Nothobranchius furzeri: one gene and its partners. The protein of the gene in region 1 purifies or fractionates together with the protein of each later gene. This does not show direct contact. Links are inferred from orthologs where the notes say so. Each region holds a gene or a part of one and is shown in the gene's direction. Other genes may lie near its edges.

Region 1 (4,991 bases):
AACAACTTCCGGGGTCAGATGCGCTGCTTCGTCTCTACCGCAGATGTAGAACATCACCGGGAGCGCTTCTCCCTTCATTAAGGAGCTTCTTTCAGACATTAGGAGAGCTGTTTTGGTGGTAGCAGTCTCTCCTCCGTGCTGGTCTGTTTGCTGCTGGGTGTTTTTGGTTTATTTAAACTTGGTAACTTGAACTTAGCGTTGGTAAAGCTACTGTTAGCATCTTCGCTAACAGCTTCTTGCGTTGGGATAAGCTGTTACGTTTTGGTTTAGAGTTCATCTTTTTTGTGGTGTAGATCTCCCTTTTATTACATTTAGAGTGTTGTGGGTTTTCGGTTTAGTGTAAAATATCACCTTGAGTTTGGTTTAACCCGTAACACCACTCGCCTCACGCACATAAGTGACCAAAACAAAGCAGCATGGAGACACTCCATCTTCTACCACCTCTCAGGCAGCAGCCTGCACTCCCAAGTTCTACATGTCACCAGAACATAACCAACCAACACAATAAAAGCAGCGTTATACAAAATGGAAGGCCTGTAGTGTTTCTTCTCTTACAGTAAGAATTTATCAATTTTTTTGAGGAATTTATTTGAGATTTTCTGGTTTTTGTTAATTGTGCAATAGAAAAATAATCATTACATTAATTTTCTAAATAGTCATTAGAATAGTCGACTATTCGATAAAATAATCGTCAGAATAATCGTTTTAAAAATAATCGTTTACCCCCAGCCCTAGTTAATATGTAAATCTAGAATTTGTATTTTATTGATGCAAAGTAAAGCTCATTAAAAGCAAAGTTTTGTCACATAAGGTGAAACTTTAATGATGATAAAGCTGTTCAGTGTTCTTTCTCCATTGCTTTTGGACCTGTTGGGGTCAGTTTCCTTTTTTTATTGTCTGCCAGTAACAGCTGTTGATGTTCTCTTTAGTTGGGATTTCCGCTGGGGATTCCACACATAAACATTTAAAGGGGAGGTTTTGTAAAAGTGTTTGTATGTTTTGTAGGTGTCAGCATTGAAAGACCAGGGCAACAAGGCACTGAGTGCAGGAAATATTGATGAAGCTATTCGCTGCTACACTGAAGCTTTGACCGTCGATCCATCAAACCATGTGCTGTTCAGTAACCGCTCAGCTGCCTACGCCAAAAAGGGCAGTTATGAGAACGCTCTCCAAGATGCCTGTCAGACCATCAAGATCAAACCCGACTGGGCCAAGGTCAGGCATCCTTCTGTCATAATTCTGTCTGATGTGTTAGAATAAAAACTAAACAGCATCTGAAATCGAACAAATTTATTCACCTAGGGCTATTCTCGGAAAGCTGCAGCCTTGGAATTTCTTGGACGATTGGAAGATGCCAGAACAACGTACCAGGAGGGACTTCGCCACGAGCCGAGTAATCAGCAGCTAAAGGAGGGTTTACAGAACATCCAGGCCAAACTTACAGGTACAAGCGTTTGGTTTTAGAGTCTATTATCTAGGGCTGCAGCTATAGAATATTTTAGTATTTGAATATTCTATTGAATCCTCCATTGATTAATCGAATATTCTATTTGACGACATTTCACAGGATTATGGTATGCTGCTAAAAATATAATTAAACCACAAAATTATATAAAGGGATCAAAAACGTATTCAATTTGTCGTCTAGTTTCCTCCTTCACAGCTGATAGGTTATACTTTATGGAACAAACTCTGACTTATATTTCATTAAAATGTTTGTTTTAATATCACCCATCCTTGTCTAAACATATCCAAATAAAATCACATATGATCAATAGAATTTAGTTATTTCAATAATATGTTCAGTAGTATGCCACTGGAAATGCTACTACCATTTATTTTTAATTTCTATTAGTAATAATGTAATGTTGGCATATGCATTTTATTATGTACGAGCTGGCAACATAATCCAGTTAAAATTGTATTCAAATGTAGAAGCTTTGTGAATTACATGCTACAATGGTTTGATATTGATCTGCGTGTGTGTGGCACAGACTTGAGTTGCTGACTCAGTAGCAACAACCTGCCTCCAGGTAGCAGCTGCAGCGGTTCTGCTCCATACCACTGCAGACATCCACACATAAGCGGGATGGTGGGAATTTTTCTTCCGCTTGTAGAGTTTAGTCATTCACAAGCATCTTTTTCTGAACTCCACTTGATCATGAGCGTGCTACGTGCTAGCTTAGCATTAGCTAATCTGCCTGAAGTTAAACTCTTGATCCCAGACTGTGGAACGTTTCTGCTGTTTACTATGGTTTCTGTCTTTGCTGGTTTCTTTATTTTCCTCCACAGTACCTAGATCAGGGGTAATCAATGAAAAACCCAATAGGACCAGTCCTTAAAATTTCTTTCATAACGAGGTCCAAACCTCATGTGTACCTCACCCCATGGCTTGCACACATGCGTGCATGCATTCTGAAGTCTCATTTGTGATTGCTAACAAAAAGTTGCTCGTCCTTCAGCAGAGAAATCGATGATGAACCCTTTTGCATCGCCCAACCTGTATCAGAAGCTGGAGAACGATCCTCGGACTCGTGAGCTCCTGACAGATCCCAGCTACAAAGAGCTACTGGAGCAGCTTAGGAATAAACCATCAGAACTCGGAGCGTATGTGCTTTTATTCGTTGTTTTTTATTTATTTATCCTAACCATTTGTATAATAAAACTGAAAAATCAAATAAAACCAGTCGTGGAAATTTGTAAAATTTATCTTCTTATTTGAAAGATGGTCCAGTGTGTGGCGATTTACTTTGACGAATATTAGAATACTGTGCTATTTAACATTCTCTTATTTGTCTCTGGCTTTGTAGGAAGCTGCAGGATCCAAGAGTGATGACTACTCTGTCTGTGCTCCTGGGCCTGAACCTTTCTGAGATGGAGGAGGAAGAGGAGCCCACACCTCCACCTCCTCCCAAACCCAAAGAAACTCCTCCACCACCTCCAAAAGAGGAGGACCTCCCTGAGAACAAGAGGATGGTAAAGTGGCTAAAAATCTAAACATTACATCAATCTGGTGTTGAATTATGTTTGTTTTTAAGATGATGCATATTTGTAATTTTGACAGGCTCTGAAGGAGAAAGAACTCGGAAATGCTGCATACAAGAATAAGGATTTTGAAGCAGCATTGAAATATTATGAAGAGGCCGTTAAGCACGACCCCACCAATATGACGTATTTATCCAACCAAGCAGGTTCGTTCCCACTCATGTTGGTGAACTAAACAAGCCACACACATTTGGGCTCGTTTGAAAAAAATTCTAATTGTAGATGAATTCTATATTTTAGTAAGTGTTTATGCTTTATTATTTTTTATGTTTACAAGCATTCTGCTGCTACAAACAAACTTTTTTTCCAACATAAACATCCTGCATGCTTGTAGGACACTTGCTGATCTCTTGGTAATATAACTGAATGTGAATGTGTTGCTCTTGTTTTAGCTGTGTATTTCGAGATGGGCGACTTTGAGAGATGCAGAGAGTTTTGTGAGAAGGCCATTGATGTTGGCAGAGAGAACCGAGAAGATTACAGACAAATCGCAAAGTGAGTTTTCTAAAGGACTTTATTTTTTCTGGTTCCTGAAGAACCATTTGTCTTTCTAAAACCAAAAACCCAAAGTGTCCAGACCTGGACTATAGATTTACAGAAACTCAAGCATTTGAAATATTGAAGTCTTGTTTTGTTATTTGCAAAATTGTTTTCAACTGGCAGAACACCCACCAGCGCATATAATAATAATAATAATAATAATAGTAATAATAATAATGGAAGATACATCTGTTTTTCCTTTGTGCCTAACCATGGTGTTTTTATGCATCAGATAAATAATTAACACTGAAAATCTTTTACTTTTTGGTGATGGCGGATAATCTTTATGAGCCATTTACTTGGCTACTAGATCAGACTGTCTAGTGCAGGGGCCGGCAACCTGTTCCCATCAAACAGCCATTATTACCCGTTTCCCACAGTAAAGAAAACACTGGGAGCCACAGCAGTCGCGGCGTTTTGGGTGCGCCTACCGGGCCTGGGCAGGTGACGCTTTTTAACGCGTCACACGTGTCTCCTTTTAAAGCGTGTTTAAGCTGTTCAGAATACAAATCCAGGCTCTCTCGTTGGGATTGCTGTAATTAAACCGTACTGAACAAAACATTAAACAATGTTGAAAAAGTAAAAGGATCCGATCAATTCACTTTTTCCCAAATTTACAGTGATGGCGATAATGGTGCAGTGCGCATGGCTCTGGTGTTATGTTTCTCTTTGCAACAGTCTTCAGAAGAAGGTGAAACCGTTAAATGACAGAGTTTGCATTGACCGGATATTTCCTGTAGTTGTCCGTTTATTTTGATGTAGAAACCTCAAGGCTGCAGGTACGCTGACATTTTAATTATGCACATCGCAGAGGTAGCTGAATCAGTCAAGAAAAGATTTCCACCAGAACACCTGAGCATCATACTGGACACTAGGGCTGTCGCGGTAACCGCAAAAATGAAATATCGCGATATGAAGAAGCCCACCGCGCTGCATCATGCGCCACGGCGCGATTACTGAACTTGGTTCAACTCAATGATGCATGTTGAGAAGGATGGCTGCACTGGTATCAAAACGAAACGTTACTTCGCTCCTGTGGGAGCACTTTGGTTTTCAGTACATCAGCTGCTGCGCAGCCAGAGTCCTTGGCCGAGACGGAGCTGCCACCAGCGGCAAAAATAAATAAATAAACGCTCGGAGACCTGCTGAAGTCCCGGACAAGCACTGCTTCTGCAGCCGTCCCGAAGAGAGTTTGAGCCGAGCTGGAGCTCACTCGCTACCTGCAGGAGGAATGCATCCACCCTAAAGAAAACCCCCGTGACACGGTGGAACAACAACCAGGAGAGATTCCCTTTGCTCGCCAGAGTCGCACGCAGGTACGTGTGCGTTAGTGCAACGAGCGCACCATCCGAGAGGGTTTTCAGTGTTGCTGCAAATGTTGCCACCCCTCTCAGATCCTCTCTCAA
Region 2 (4,936 bases), on another chromosome or scaffold:
GTCAAGCTTTATTACATTATTTCACAGACAGAGACAGCCTGCCATACTGAATATTTTTCCTCTTTTCAACCAGTCTGTATCAATGAGTGCTATTTTCTGAGCTGTAGTCTGTTGCAGAAGCATATTATTGTATGAAATGACGCAGAAACAGCTTTTTCTCAGACAATTTTGATCATCTTTGTTCAGTTTTTACAGAAGCCTGGTGACATACCTGCAACATGATTGGCATAGAGCAGCTGTTCCAGTACAGCTGTTTTACCAACTCCAGCCTGACCACACACAACTACTTTACAGCTTTTTCCCATGATGACGTCCTAGTCCCTAGTAGGAAAATCTGTTGAAGGAATAAAACAAACAGATTAAACCCTGCTGAGCCAGTTAACATTAAAACTGTAGAGAAAAGAGTAAATGTCATAAATGACATGAATAAATTTATTATCAGTCGCAGTGTGATTTTAATTTATTTTATAAACATTATAAGTATTAACAGCATCAGTGTCATGCAGTGATCTGGCATCTGTGAACAACGGAGTTGTAAAAACTCTTTCCCATGTCTGAAGACCGTAAACACTAAGGCGGTTTTGTCAGAATGTTGATTAAAGAACAATTAGTGTTTATTTTCAATACCTTTGCTCAATGATAATTGTTTCATAACATGAATAAAGCAAAGAGGTCAGATATTGTTTTCAATTGGGACACTTCCTGAATAATTTTGACCTCCTCCTTATTGGAGGCTCCAAACGACGTTTCTGCAGAAGTGCTGATATATTAGCCATAGAGGTGTTCCTGTTTGTTTTCTTTTATTTCAACAGCAAGTCTTTTAATGAGTGTAAAAATACATAAAAATTAAATAAAAATAAAAAAGCAAGTGAAAATGAACAGCAGACTGACAGGATCCAGCATTCCCCAAATGCAACATAGTCGACCCAAATCAAACATAAAATGCTTCCAAGGTGTAACGAACAAAACCAGACACAGCTGAGTCACAAAATGAGAAAAACATCCTGCTAGCTCTCTGCCTTTCCATCTCCTAGCCTTTCCATTGCGTTGGCTAAATAAAACTCTTTTGTTTTTATTAACTATTAATGTCAAAATTGAGTAAATAATTTTAGAATGAACATAGTTGCTTTTCTTTGTGGGCTTTTAGCCTAGCATTAGCTTTCATAAGATACGCAACTACAATGTCACCGTGTACGCAATGGACGTAAGCCAAACCTGACAACACTTAGTACATGTCGTCAAACATACACTGACTAGCTTCGTTCTTGGCAAAAGTTAATGGTTTGTAGTATTATTTAACATTACTGACAGACTGCTTTCTTACCTAGCGGGCTAGTTCCTGTTTACAGTGTACGTAATGACGTTTTCTTGCAAAACTGTGACTTCCTGTTTACAGCGTACGTAACACCGCAGTATGAAACCCCGCCCATTCTCATTGACGGTAAAATGGCGACAGACAGCTGTGATTCTTCGAACGCGGAGCCTGACATGGAGCTGCTCATCACTGACGAGGATATAGAAAGGTTTGAAAATGGCAATGCCTTGTTGTCAATGGTTATCGGATACACAAATAACTTGTTAGTCCAACGTGTGTTTTAACTGCCTTGTCATCGGAGTTTTCTTGTCGCACTTAAATGCTAACTAGCGCTATTGCTAACTGTAAGCTAACGTTCGATAGCCTTGTTCCCCTTCTCTAACTTCTCTGCCGGATTTAAACGAGGATCTGAATTTGTTTTTAGTTTCATAGCATTAGCGTTGTTTGGGCCTTTGCACCACTGCCGTATTTTCTGATTTTGTAGAATGACACTGTTCTCTGACTGTGTGGTCGTGATGTTAAGCTTTAAGCCATCCAAATAAAGTCATGGCAGTTGCACGGAGCATGGTGTCATATGTTCCTGGCTCTGCTCGCCTTGCCTGCTTCACAAAATAGCTACGGGTTGGCTGCTGTTTAGACTCTTTCTATGTTTAGCTAACGCAGACCGGAAAATTCTGGAATGCATCATAGGCACTGTCCCTTATAATCACAGATGTTCTGCATTGGTTAGGAGTATTTCAGCAAGCCTCTAGTTACCATCCAGATGTATCAAAGCAAGTTTATTGCAAAGAAGATATTCTAGTCAATTTTAGGTTTCAGAGGGTGAGTCATTAAAGCATAACTGGTGTATTGTATAGGAGCTAATCTAAAGTTTAAAGTCTAGTGGTTGTTGAAAAATATTTAGTTTAGTATTTCAGGACAGTCAAATCAGTGGCGTCCAAACTTTGAGAAATGGGCAAAAATAAACAAGTTAGAAGTACTGGGAGGAGTTTATTTATTTTTTTAATGTAAAAAATGTTCTGTTATGTCTTTATTTGCATCCCCTCAACAAATCATAAAACACAATGTTTTATCAAAGAGGAATTAACATTTTTGTTAATTTTAGTGTAGTGAAGATCAGAAAATTTGTGTATTTTTGAGCCATCTAAAACATCTCGTATAACATGGAGTCAAACTCCCTGAATCTGATAAGTTGATTGCTTTAGCAGAATCTAGATTGCCTCTGCTTTAGTAGTGTTCACTGTATTTCAGTGGTTCTCAATCCTGGTCCTGGGCGGCCGGTATCCAGCATGTTTTTGTTGTTTCTTTGCTCCAACACACTTGATTCAGTGGTCAAATCACCTGTGTAGCAGGTCATCAAGCTCTGCAGAAGCCTTTTAATTACCTGCTGTTTGAAATGAGGTGTGTTTAAAGAGGGTTAAACCTAAAGCTCCTCCAGGACCAGGATTGAGACCCGCTGCTGAATTTGATCAAGTTTTCTAAAAGATGCTGACAAGTCTGCCATTTAGTTGGTCAGTGAGGGTTTGGTTCTAGTTACCATTAGATCAGTATAAAAGCCAAACAATGTGGTTAAAGACAAATGTTTTGAACTATTCTTAACCTATTCCATTTTATAATGATTTAATTCATCCGTGTTCTTGCTAGGTCTCACATTAGTAAAAGCATCGAGATTAACACAAAGTGTGTCTTCATCAACAACCTGGTCTACAAGGACAACATTACGCCATTCACAAACTGCAGTAGAGGTGTGGTTAGGAACTAATCAACACTCTTGCTTAAGAGTGTAAAAATGGAGTTTTAAACAACTCTTGTTTGTGGTTTTAGATCAGTTAAACATTTTCTGTAGAGATCTGCAAACGTTATGGGTAAATTGTTGGCTGTAAAATTGGCTTGACTCTTAAACTTAGAAGTCATGCTACTTATTAAGTGTTTTGCAAAAACAATATATTGTGTTGTTCCATACAAAAAAATTTCAAAAACTATGGAACTCTTTCAGTTTATTTATCATATTTGTTGCAAATTAGCTAAATAAGTTCCTCTGCTATAGATGAATCCATTAAAAGCAAGTTGCTCATAGTACCAGTCATTTTATATTTCATTTCAGGGTTTCTTCCAATTCTCTTTCTCAGGTTATTGGGTGGTAATATGTAGAGCTGGGCAATAAATCGAAAATGTATCGTTATCGAAATGTCTCACTCTTATCGAGAATTATTCCCATGTCAATAAATTTGATAATAAACAATGAAAAGATGTGTGTAGGTTGGCAACAACCTACACAAAGTCACGTGACCCCACAACATTTGGTCTGTAACCTGAAGGGAGATGGTGAGGACACAGATGACTCAAATGTTGGAGCTGTGGGCAAGGGCAGCAGGTAGTGGACAGCAGAAGCTGGTGACAGCGAGCAAATCCAAAATGTTGTTAAAGGGAACAGTCAACTGTTGCTGTACTGGCAGTTATCATCCAGTTATGGTCATCAAGGCAAACTGCTCAATACATTTAGGCCATGTCACCCAGCCCTTCTCCAAACTAAATGGCACAAATGCTTCAAGAAAATTTCAAGTTTCGGAATAAAATCAGGAACTATCAGCCTCACTGTGAACAAGTGGTTTAGGGAGCTGAATGGATGGCTTTACAGCCTTTAACCCCAATGGAAATACATGGCATGTGCTTTGAGATGACTACTCGTTGACCTAATTCTTGGCAAAAAATCATTACTGACCTGATCTCATTTTGCTCTGATTTTTCTGTTTCTCTGCCTTCTCTCCACAGGGAAGCGGAGGGCTTTAAAGAGCAAGGCAATGTCTTTTATATCCAGAAGGATTACACAGAGGCATTCAGTTATTACTCCAAGGCTATCGGTAAACATTTGTTTTATAAGATTCTTTCATCCATCGTCTATCGTTGGTGGGGTTTTCTACGTGAGAAACATGTACTCAAAAACAAAATCTTTTTTTTGTCAGATCTGTGTCCGAAGAATGCAAGTTACTATGGAAACCGGGCAGCCACACTAATGATGCTGTGTCGGTTCAGAGAGGCTTTAGAGGACTCCCAGCAAGCAGTACGACTAGATAACGCCTTTGTGAAGGTATGGTGTGCATAAGAAGTTACTGTCTGAGTTTTTGTTGAGTTCAAATGTGATTCTGCAGTGGGTATGGAGAGATGTGGATGGCTTCCTGACTGGCTTAGACTGGTGAGCTAATGGCTAGTTCAAGCATCCGACAAAAATGTTTTTCTGTCATCTTAAAGAGTTTGTGTAGCTTCACTTTCTAACCCTTTTGCACCACCTTCAGCTTTCATTTATTTCAGTGGGTATTTATGAGCATAAATGTTATGCTAAATCCCACCAATGTAAAAGATGTTTGATGCGTTCAGACTAAGGGATGCCGTTCCTTAAAATACATTTCATCTGTTGCCATCTTCTCCAGAGTTGAATCAATGGAGAAAAAGTAGTTTTTAATCAGCCCAGACACTCACCTAATCTGTGGGTATTCTGTTAGCTTTAGCTTAGCATAAATGAGTTAATGGTAACAGCTAGCCTTTGGTGTGAACCTCAATAATCATACTGACTGCAAATAAAAATAATACCACAAAGGATTTGCAGCTGATTTAGACTTGGGA
Region 3 (4,984 bases), on another chromosome or scaffold:
GACCAGATTAGAGAAACTTATTCATGCTTTTGTTTCTAGTCGGCTGGACTATTGCAATGGTCTCCTGACTGGTTTTCCCCAAAAAGCTGTGAAGCAGCTGCAGCTTGTTCAGAATGCTGCTAGAGTCTTAACAAGAACTAAAAGAATGGAGCACATCACTCCTGTTCTTAGATGCCTACACTGGTTACCAGTAAACAACAGAAAAGATTTCAAAGTGCTCCTACTAGTTTATAAATCACTCAATGTCATAGGACCAAAATACATGTCTGATCTCATTCGTGAAATGCCTTGAGACGACTCTTGTCATGATTTGGCGCTATATCAAACTTGAATTGAACTTGAATTTCTGTATACACTCCCAATAGGGCTCTGATATCCTTAGGAAACACCCAGCTGGTAGAACCACGGGTCAGAACAAAACATGATGGAGATATAGTTACTATGCTGCTCACATATGGAATCAGCTTCCCCATGACCTCAGATGTGCCCCAACCCTACTGTTGTTTAAAACAAAAGTAAAAACCCTAATGTACTCATCAGCCTTTAAATGAATTGTTTCCTATGCTGCGTCATCTCCACTGTGATCTGCCCTGTAACTTTGTCTTCTCCTTTAGCTCTAAACTGTAATTCCATTTGTGTGTATTTTAATTTGTGTTTTCATGTCATGCCTTGTTAATTGTAAAGCACATTGAACTGCCTCTGTGTTTGAAATGTGCTCAATAAATTAAGCTGCCTTGCCTAGAATCTTCCGGTGCGTGTCCGTGATATAGCAACAATTGCTCAACGTGGACTCATTTAGAAGAACTGCAGTACCCAAATTTGATCACAGGATGTTGAAGAAATCTGTAAGTGGCAAAATACCCTTTTAGAACACTGTGGGTGACTTAGAAAAAAACAACAACAACCATATAGCAGAAAAATCAACCAAAGCTTCACAGTGGTGGCTTTCAACTCCTTTCACCAATAGTAATGTTATTACTTCAGCAGACGACAGAGGGCGCACAAGGCAAGTTTGTGTCACCTAAACATTTTGAGACAAAGGTTGTTGTCCTCAAACAAAACTAATCTTTTATCAACGTCATTTGAATAGCTTGATATTGCATTTACACTTTACATCAACGGGATTTACACAATTAGCTGCCCTCTACCGGGGCAGGTTCGGTGAAAACAGACAAAAACGCTGATTTCCACGTTGAAAGACGTGCTACCTTGATAGACCCTCGTAAGAACAAAGATTAGAAAACAATAAATAACAGTTTCTGACACGTGGTTCGACTATTCATAGTCTTATTTGCATGTTATTTGTATCCATAATCTTAAAAAAGAAGATATTTAAACAATCTACAAAAAGAAACGGGAACATATAAATAAAAATAATAATAATAAAAACCCGCAAGTGTCATGGTGCATGATGTGATTTCCTACTGCACGTGAATGCAGCATTCCTAGTAGTGGGCAAGGCCAGATATATCTTTCAGCTCCACCATCAATAACCAGCCACCTCTACTTACAGACACAGTTTGTACTCTTAAACGGAAATAGTTTGAACCACATCAACAGAGAGGCTATTGGGGTGGATATTGCCTTTATTCTGGTAAGCATTTCTTGATTTAGACGAAAGTCAACACAGTACGAGGGTTCAGTAAAAAGCGGTGAAAGCCTCTTCTGCCGCATAGTCTCATGCTGGGGGTGCTGTGCGGCTCTGCTATGTGCTAATCGTCGACGGTAATGTTTCATAATTCATAAGACGTTTAATATAAGTTAAAGTCGTGCTGATTATTAATCCGCCCGTGATCGCGTGTTAGTGATATTCAGATGTACCGGCTAATGGTAAGCTAATCTAGCTATTCGTGGTAGCTGCCAACCAGAGAATAAGGCAGTGCTACAGTTAGCCTCATTTTAAAACGACTTTTTAAACAGTATCCCATAATAATGTTTTTGTGCTCGTCAGGATAATCATTTTTATTTAGCGTCATAGTGTCGTAAGGAATTGTGTACTGCTAACGTTAGCTGAATTTTGTTTTGTACAACAGTACAATTTTTCCAAGTTTTCGATAGTTTATTGGTAGATTCATTTTTGAAGTGTTTTGTTCCTAAACTGCGAAATAAACTGAGTTTCTGGAAGTTTTTCCAAATCCTGAGAAGTTTACACAAGTTGCCACATCACTTAGCAGCGTGATTGGACCTTTAACTTCCCAAATTTAGCATAAACACGCGAATGGCAACAAAATGTTTAAAAGTAATTTTGTTTATTAGAAATAAAGATTTTTTAAAATTAGATAATGATGTTTTGAGTGTCAAATGGAACGGCTATATTCTGAAAAATGTTTCCCCAGTGTTGTTTTATATCAATTTGAATGCCCATCAAAAAAAACTACAGTGTTTAAAAAAACCTACACTGTTTTAAACTGCGTTATTCTTATACAGATGAGCTCACATCTAATTAGAATTTGTTTTATTTTTGCTGATTAATACAAAAAAGTAATTTTATGTGGATGTCAAAGTTTTATCTTAAAAAGCTGAGAAACAATTTATTTATTTTTGAAAATGATCGCTTTAACAAACAGGCTGAACTTGAAAATGGTCTTCTACCTCTATTTCCTGCATTATATTTTGATGGAAAATAAACGAAAGAATGCTCAGTTCAGAAAAACCTGACAGATCTATGTCATGCTGTTACTTAACATGAATGGACCCACCCATCTTGGCTCACGAAGAGGAAGGCTGTTGTTGGTTTAGCATCTAGGAAACAGCAGAGAATATTCAGCTAGTAGAAGCTATCACTGGCATTTCCACAGCATAGCAAAACTCTTCCAGGCTTATTTGTGGAGATCAAATCAATCATCAATGTTGCAAAGCAATCAGAGTCAATGGTAGAGTTGCACTGCTGTTGGCCAATCAGAGAACAAATGTCCAAATATCAGGAAATAAGACTCCAAATCCTGTTGTCTGAAGCTACTTTCTCCACTGGCTAACTTCTAAGTCCTCACACAGATGCACTATAGCTTTTTTTGCTCCAGGGAACAACTTACAAGGCACCCATTTCTACTAGGATTCCCTACAAATGTATTAAAAATATGAGTAAAGTTGACCTTTAAAATTTCAGTAAACATTGGTTTCAGATAAAAGTGCTTAATGTTGATTTTCTTTCGGGATTATCACAGTTATCACAAGATACCAGAAGCCATGAATGTTCTGGAGTCAGCAACGTTCTGTGAAAATAACTGGATTATTTTTTCTTTTCTGTGTAAAAGTTATACATGTTTACTATTTTACCCTTTCTAGGTAGCTTCCGTGGCGGCCTTGATTTGCAGGACTAATTAGACTTCATTCACGATGCATAACGTAATTATTTGCATGGAATTTCCGTCAAAGATTTATAAATGGTGTTTGCATGAACCTCTATAACATTTTGTAGCTGTTTAAGGATGGCAGCAAAACTCTTGAGTCTCTGCTTGCTTGTTGTCCAGGAAACTTTCTACAGTGGATAATACAATTATTTATAACTTTGAAACACAGTTTAGGATTCCCCACTCAAAAATAAACCTTTTAAGGTACTTTCAGATCAGCTTCCTGTCTTACGGAGTAGGTCTTTTTCCATTATTCATACAGTCTGTGGTTAAAATCAAGACTTCATAAACTAGTCCTGAGTTTGACTGCTTGATGAGACACTATACGCTTTTACTGTTTAGAGATGAATTTGTACCTTTTAGTTTGTTCCTGCACATGAAATGTTTATTTATTGTTTATTTATTGCTATTGTAGTTGTAACTTTTCCACATACTGATTATTTTCTTCAAGGCATCTTATATTCAAATCCACCTAAACGGGCTCCTGTTCATGAGCCCATTCTGTAAATTCTCTTGTTGCTGTAAATCATGTCAGGTGAGGGAACCTGCTTGTTATTGCATCGTTCTAAGCCACTAGTCGTTTTTCTTCCTTCACTTATGATTTATGTTAAGACCTTGCTGCTCCTAGTCTGTTTGTCCACTACTCTGGTCTTGTTAACATCAGGGTCTGATGTTCTCTTGCTCTTGACAAATCTCTTCTAGCTGTCCTATTACATTGTAATCATGGAGTTGGTAAAAGAAAAGAAAATAGGCACGGGATCTTGCAAAATTGCAAAGTAAATCACATGTATAGAACTTGGGTGAGGCTTTTTACTTTTTCAACAATTTTTTCAACTTTCACATCGTTAAAAAATGGACTTTTGATTTGGTCATGGTTATGTAAGGGAACCCCTTCAAGGGAAAATCATTTTGCACACCAGCAAAGCACAGCTGCTAAAAAAGAACATATGTTGTTTTAATCTCTTGCTGCTCAACTTGCCTGGATGGGTTAGCTTGTGTGGATTCTCATTGTTTTTGTGTGAAACAAAGAACATTAAATTTGAGGCTTTGGTGTGATCCTTTAGCCCTAAAGTGCAGAATCCCTTAAATCTGACTTCAACACACTGCTCTGAAAAATTGAAACTGTCAGCGCAAATGTAATCAACTGTAACTTTGCTCTGGCGAGATAAAGAAATGAATCAATGAGAGAGTGATTAGTTTTGGTTTAGACTGATTAAGCATAAAATTAATCTTCGTAGTGCCAATGCTCCATTTCTTTAGTCAATGTATATAGTGCTTTAAGACAATAGAAGTTGACAAAGTGCTTTATAGTTAAATCAAACAAAGATGAAAACAGCAGTAACAGCTATAAAACAGAAGAGGTAATAAAAGTAAGTAAAAAACCAACCATGTGCTGCTTTGTTTGTCAAACTTTGACCTTATTATGGTGTAGATTCTTGTTCCATTCAGATTGTAACTTAGACTATTACCATTTGCCTCTTTTGTGCCATCTTTAAAGATACTTTTAGAGAGCAAATCACAACCCAGTGGGTTGAATACTCTTAACACTGTGTGGCTAAGATCAGTACTGACAGATGTCCTATTAGATACAAGCACTGACTTACAGGTTCAAGTATTGAACAATGACTGTAGCA
Region 4 (5,157 bases), on another chromosome or scaffold:
CCGACATTCAAGTAAAATGTATAAATACAGATTTATTTGTGTTTAAAAACCAGGTGTTTTAGTGGACGTTTTCTCTAAAGTAGATATCAGATTTGATAGCGTTGTGGAGCTCAGTGAAGAATAAAAAGTACTCGTTGGTTGAACTGTTAAGGGGATCCTAGTCTAGAACTCCTAAAATTCAAACCAGTTCTTTAAAGCCTCTATTTAGAAAATTACACTTTGTTGGGGCTCACAATGGCCCAGGAGCCCTGATGAATGGCCGAACACAACCCAATAATAAAGACCTACAATGGAAAGACTGGTTTGCCCCGTCCACTTGGCCAGGACATGAATATTAAATGAGCTGTGTGCTGATAGGCCAACTTACCCCGATGGCTCTGACGCTGCCTGAAGCTATCTCTGGGTGTTTCTCAATGCCAAGGAACCTTGCCTTGATGTCTTGGCCCCGCCCCGGTTGCCTAGGAGATACGTCATCGGGAGCCGCCAAGACGTGTTCCAATGTTCATGTTCTACCGAGGTTCCGTTTGTTAGCCATTTAGCTAGCTGAGCGGGGATACATGGGAGATGTCTTGTAGCCTAGTCTTGGTCAAACATTACCCAGAATACACCGCGGTATTTTCAAAAGGACGGCGGATCAGAAGCCGGCGGCTACTTCGGGGGCAAATTTCAAGTTTAAAAGTAAGTCAGCTAATTTAAAATGTTTTTTTTTTTTTAGATCCAAAGAAGTTATCTATGGTTGGTTAGTTGTTTAGTAGTTGCAGCTTCGGTGGCTAGCGGGTAGTAACTCACTTATATTTTTGATTTAATAAACATATCTCGTTATATATTTATATTGAAACTAATACATATAAAATATGACCTCATCTCCCGTGTCACGTGACGTTACGTGACCGCCATGGAAGCCACGGTCACGTGATGCAAGTCTGTTCCATTTAACCGTTTTCTTTGACCAAGGAAGGACCGTGTCCTCGTAAGCAAGGCGCCTGGCCTCACAAGACATCGCCTCGCAAGGCCAGGCGCCTTGACATTGAGAAACATCCTCTGTGTCCAGTATCCAGATAACTTAATAGGGGAACTATCGGTCTATCTGGCATTTATTCATAGTCTGGATATTCCCAGAACTTCCTGGACATTGTGTGCTCTGACATTCTTCTTCTTTGTTGTTTTCCTCTTGTCCAACAAGGACGTTAGCTGTAGCTCAGGTTAGCGTTTGCAGTAGCTCTGCGGTTCAGCATTACTTCTACCAACATTTATAATGGCAGATTCGGAAGAGGGTTGGGGCATGCATAATTAAGGGTGATTTGGAAACCTAGAAGGTATTTTGGACCACCATGTGACATAACATCAGCTGGACAGTCCTGATGGACCTGCTGCCCGTATTCTCCATCGTGGCTTATGTTGTACTATGTTATTCATGAGGCAGAACTTCTGTCACCTCTGGGACAGACAATAAAGCAGTTTCATTTCCAGTCATTTAGTTCAAGTGATTTGTCTTTTTCCTGATTGTTTTATTCCCTTAATTTATCTCAACACATATTTTGTTCAGATTGGCAACAGAATTATGAAATATACACATCTGTGAAAGCACTCACACTTAATCTTCATAAATCAGACCAAACATGTTCAAAGAAATGTTAGCGAAAAGAACATGGATTCAACAAAATTACTGAAGAGGCATATTCACTTTCATTTTCCCTGCATTTGCCTAGAAATCGATCTAATGGTAGTAGTGGCAAAAGACTTGGCTCTGCAGGTCGGTCTGGCCACACTACATGACAGCCTCAGCAGATCTACCACTGGCCTGAAGAGTTTTGCTTCTTGCAATTCACATCACTCTATGTTTATTGGATGGCCTCAGCACCAGAGCTATGATGGAGAAAAACTACAAAGATGGCATCGACTCAGGAATGGTGCTAGTTCTGCTGTGTGCTTTTAACATCTTGATCTAGTGGAGCAACCCGTGTTCTGACCTCCACCCCCCAAATGTGCTTGTGTGAATGTTTGAATGATTGATTGTGTTGTAAAGCACCTTAGGGGGCCATTTTTTATTTAAAGTGTAATTTTAGCACAGACTAATTTCAAGACAAATTGTTTAAAAAAATGAAAAAGTTGCTTAGTATTGACGAGCGTATTTTCCTACTGCTGTCACTGCCCCCTACTGGACAGCAGCAGCTACAGCAGAAACCCAGATATTACACTCTCATCTAAAAACAAAAACATTCATTTAATGAATTATAAATGGTGGGTTGTTTATCACCAATAGGCTTACATTTGAAAAACACATCCAACCAGTAAAGGAAAAAAAAGTCTTGGGGGGCTTTTATTTTGTCAGGCCCACCGGAAGCGTGTCGCCTTCCAGTGGGCTGGTTTCCTCAATAAGCGGAAGTACAAGGTGAAGAGAAACTTTCGGGTTTGTTAAGAGTTGTTTTTCAACCTGGTTCTGATGTGACCCACTCGGTTCTGTAAAGTGGAGGAGTTCGGTTCTCGAGCAAAAATGGCGGGAGGGTTCCGACGAGAACAGTTCCTATTCAAACTTCCCTCTCCCGTCAACTGGGAGTTCTGCCGAGTCATGGACGGACTGTCGGACTTGGACTGGACCCGGTTCGGTGAGTTCCCCTCTAGAACACTCGACAAACAGGTCCCCTGGATCCGTATCAATCTACACCTGACCAGAGTCACGTGCTGCGGGCGACGGTCTGCTTTGAAGTGTCTCAGCTGATTGTTCTGCTGTCATGTGGCCCCGCCCACACCTGGAGCGACAAACAGGACCCCCACGCACCCCCTCCCAGGGTTGACCCGGAGAAGCTTGGCTGTGATTTTTGCCCGTTGTGGAGCAGGTGTAGCCCCGCCTCTCACCTGGTTCAAACGTCACACCTGTCCCAGTGACTTGTTAAACATTCCTGCTGCATTTAGTTACTTCTTATTTCCAGTTTCGGGTTTTCACTCATTCATGTCTCATTTGCACAGCTTTCCATTCCCCGTGAATATTCTGCTGCAGTCTTAACAGAATTTTATTTTTAATGCGGTAAATTTAATTAAATCTTCTAAATATTTACATATTTATTTAAACTGACCAGACGGCAATGGAATTTATTCCATTCTTTCCCCTGAGACTCCACTCGGGATGAAGCAGCTCCACAACATTCTCAAATCCTTCCCTTGAGTGAGGTGACAGTGGCACAGGAGATTGCAGAAGGTTGCAGGTTTGAGCCCCGCTCAGTTTGTCGCTCCTTTAGCAAGACACTTAACCCCCCTGCCTGCCGGAGGGACCGGCGGCGCCTGTGCTTGGCAGCCTCGCCTCCGTCAGTGTGCCTCAGGGCAGCTGTGGCTACATCATAGCTCATCCCTACCAGGGTGTGAACGGGTGAATGACTGGTTGTGTTGTAAAGCGCCTTGAGGGGTTCCAGGACTCTAGAAGGCGCGATATCAAATACAGACCATTTACCGTTCTGTCTGCAGCCTCGGAGGTGCTGAAAGACCAGACGGCTGTGCGACTGGCTGAGAGGCAGGCCCAGCGGACCGACTGGGTGATGAACCAATGGGGATGCAGGAACGGTCGAGTTGGAGAGCTGATTGACTTGTTAGAGTCGCTGCAGCTTTTTAGGCCACGAGATGTCATCTTGACCTGTAAGTACACCTCTGACCTCTGACCCTATATACAGGGAGCCCAAGTCTCCTCCCTCTCCGGTCGGCTCACGGGTCTCCGAAAGAACCAAAAAATGAATGCAAGTCGCTTTGCCTCACGCCCTGGATCGCACACGTTGTCCTGCAATTTAAATGAAAAGCAATGAAGTGTGTTTCGACCACGCCTGTCACGTACGTGGAGGTCGATCGTACCGCACCAGGTTTATTCATAAAGCACGTTTAAAGCGCCGTGCAGCAGCTGACCAAAGTGCTGTACGGTGGTAGAAAGAAGGATGTCAGCAGCGACTCGAACCGAGTCAGTGACTGGGCTTGTCCAACACAGAGGGGAAGGTCGTAATTAGCATAACGTGCATTCATTTTTTCGTTCCTCCCATGGTCCGGAAGTAGATGGACGTGACTTAGGCTCCATATTAGAAGAATGTTCACCCCTTCTTATGTCTGCAGGGACTCAGGCGATGAATCCTTCCTCCTTTGCTCCTCCTCCTCTTCCTCCTCCGCCACCTCCTCCTCGTCTCCCTTCTCCTCCACCGTATGAGCAGCCCACAGGTAGACCCAAAACAAGCCTGCCCATTGCTCTGATCAGCTGTTCTCCATCTGTTTTCCATCATCATCATCATTGGGGCGACGGTGGCACAGGAGTTAAGTGCTCGCCCCGTAATCGGAAGGTTGCAGGTTCGAGCCCCGCTCAGTCTGTCGCTGTCGTTGTGCCCTTGGGCAAGACACTTAACCCACGTTGCCTGCTGGTGGTGGTCAGAGGGACCGGCGGCGCCAGTGCTCGGCAGCCTCGCCTCTGTCAGTGCGCCCCAGGGCAGCTGTGGCTACATCGTAGCTCATCCCCACCAGTGTGTGAATGTGTGTGTGAATGGGTGAATGACTGATTGTGTTGTAAAGCGCCTTGGGGGGTTCCAGGACTCTAGAAGGTGCTACATCAAATACAGGTCATTTACCATTTTTACCATCAGACGGATTCCAGTACTAAACCATAGTCTGTGCCTTCTCAGCACCAGGTCCCTCTGGCTGCTCGACCGGCGCTGATGTTTGTAAATCGTGTGAAACTCCTGTTAGCAGTGCTGCTTCCAAACACCAACTGAAATAGAGATGCCACTCAGCCGTGCAAAGGGCGTTCGCTGTGGTTTTAAACAGTGCTTATTAATGATGCAGCTGACATTCACACATCGGTCCGCAGCAAGACCAACCCTGGTAACCACGACAGGAAGTAAGAACTCAGCAGAGGGATAGATCAAACTTTGTGGACTGGCTTAAAACCAGACTGGAGTGTTTCTAGAATGTCATCCTCTGAGACATGACCTTCTCCGGAAGATTAGAAATAAAAGGAAGTCTGGAGATAGGTCGGTACCTGGACGAGGCCAGGCTTCTTCAGGAAAGGCTTCAGGAAAACCCGGGGACCAAGTGAAGTAAAAGCTTCTTTTAAGAGTCTAGGAGGCATCATACCTAGGGCTTGGTAGGGTTGGTTTAAGATGTCACCTTTTTCACACCTTCTGGGTTTGCAGG

The links. Proteins that work in one complex are often made in the same cells at the same time.
Region 2: the proteins of stip1 (region 1) and dnajc7 purify together in Homo sapiens (affinity purification with mass spectrometry; 4 studies listed by BioGRID and IntAct, with this or other methods). This does not show direct contact. The link is inferred for Nothobranchius furzeri from reciprocal best matches to the Homo sapiens genes STIP1 and DNAJC7.
Region 3: the proteins of stip1 (region 1) and dnajb6b purify together in Homo sapiens (affinity purification with mass spectrometry; 3 studies listed by BioGRID and IntAct, with this or other methods). This does not show direct contact. The link is inferred for Nothobranchius furzeri from reciprocal best matches to the Homo sapiens genes STIP1 and DNAJB6.
Region 4: the proteins of stip1 (region 1) and irak1 purify together in Homo sapiens (affinity purification with mass spectrometry; 3 studies listed by BioGRID and IntAct, with this or other methods). This does not show direct contact. The link is inferred for Nothobranchius furzeri from reciprocal best matches to the Homo sapiens genes STIP1 and IRAK1.

What each region holds. Positions count from the first base shown.
Region 1 is NC_091750.1:53,229,184-53,234,174, forward strand, and holds part of stip1 (stress-induced-phosphoprotein 1), read left to right. Parts: intron 1-1,005; coding exon 1,006-1,215; intron 1,216-1,302; coding exon 1,303-1,444; intron 1,445-2,462; coding exon 2,463-2,607; intron 2,608-2,810; coding exon 2,811-2,976; intron 2,977-3,064; coding exon 3,065-3,191; intron 3,192-3,437; coding exon 3,438-3,540; intron 3,541-4,991. UniProt on the Homo sapiens protein: Acts as a co-chaperone for HSP90AA1. Mediates the association of the molecular chaperones HSPA8/HSC70 and HSP90.
Region 2 is NC_091745.1:16,067,814-16,072,749, reverse strand, and holds the start of dnajc7 (dnaJ homolog subfamily C member 7), read left to right. Parts: upstream 1-1,384; 5' UTR 1,385-1,446; coding exon 1,447-1,523; intron 1,524-4,087; coding exon 4,088-4,176; intron 4,177-4,278; coding exon 4,279-4,403; intron 4,404-4,936. Other genes in the region: nkiras2 (NF-kappa-B inhibitor-interacting Ras-like protein 2), read right to left, coding at 212-305. UniProt on the Homo sapiens protein: Acts as a co-chaperone regulating the molecular chaperones HSP70 and HSP90 in folding of steroid receptors, such as the glucocorticoid receptor and the progesterone receptor.
Region 3 is NC_091747.1:47,512,081-47,517,064, reverse strand, and holds the start of dnajb6b (dnaJ homolog subfamily B member 6b), read left to right. Parts: upstream 1-1,432; 5' UTR 1,433-1,594; intron 1,595-4,984. UniProt on the Homo sapiens protein: Has a stimulatory effect on the ATPase activity of HSP70 in a dose-dependent and time-dependent manner and hence acts as a co-chaperone of HSP70. Plays an indispensable role in the organization of KRT8/KRT18 filaments.
Region 4 is NC_091755.1:47,789,120-47,794,276, reverse strand, and holds the start of irak1 (interleukin-1 receptor-associated kinase 1), read left to right. Parts: upstream 1-1,605; 5' UTR 1,606-2,494; coding exon 2,495-2,606; intron 2,607-3,459; coding exon 3,460-3,627; intron 3,628-4,089; coding exon 4,090-4,191; intron 4,192-5,157.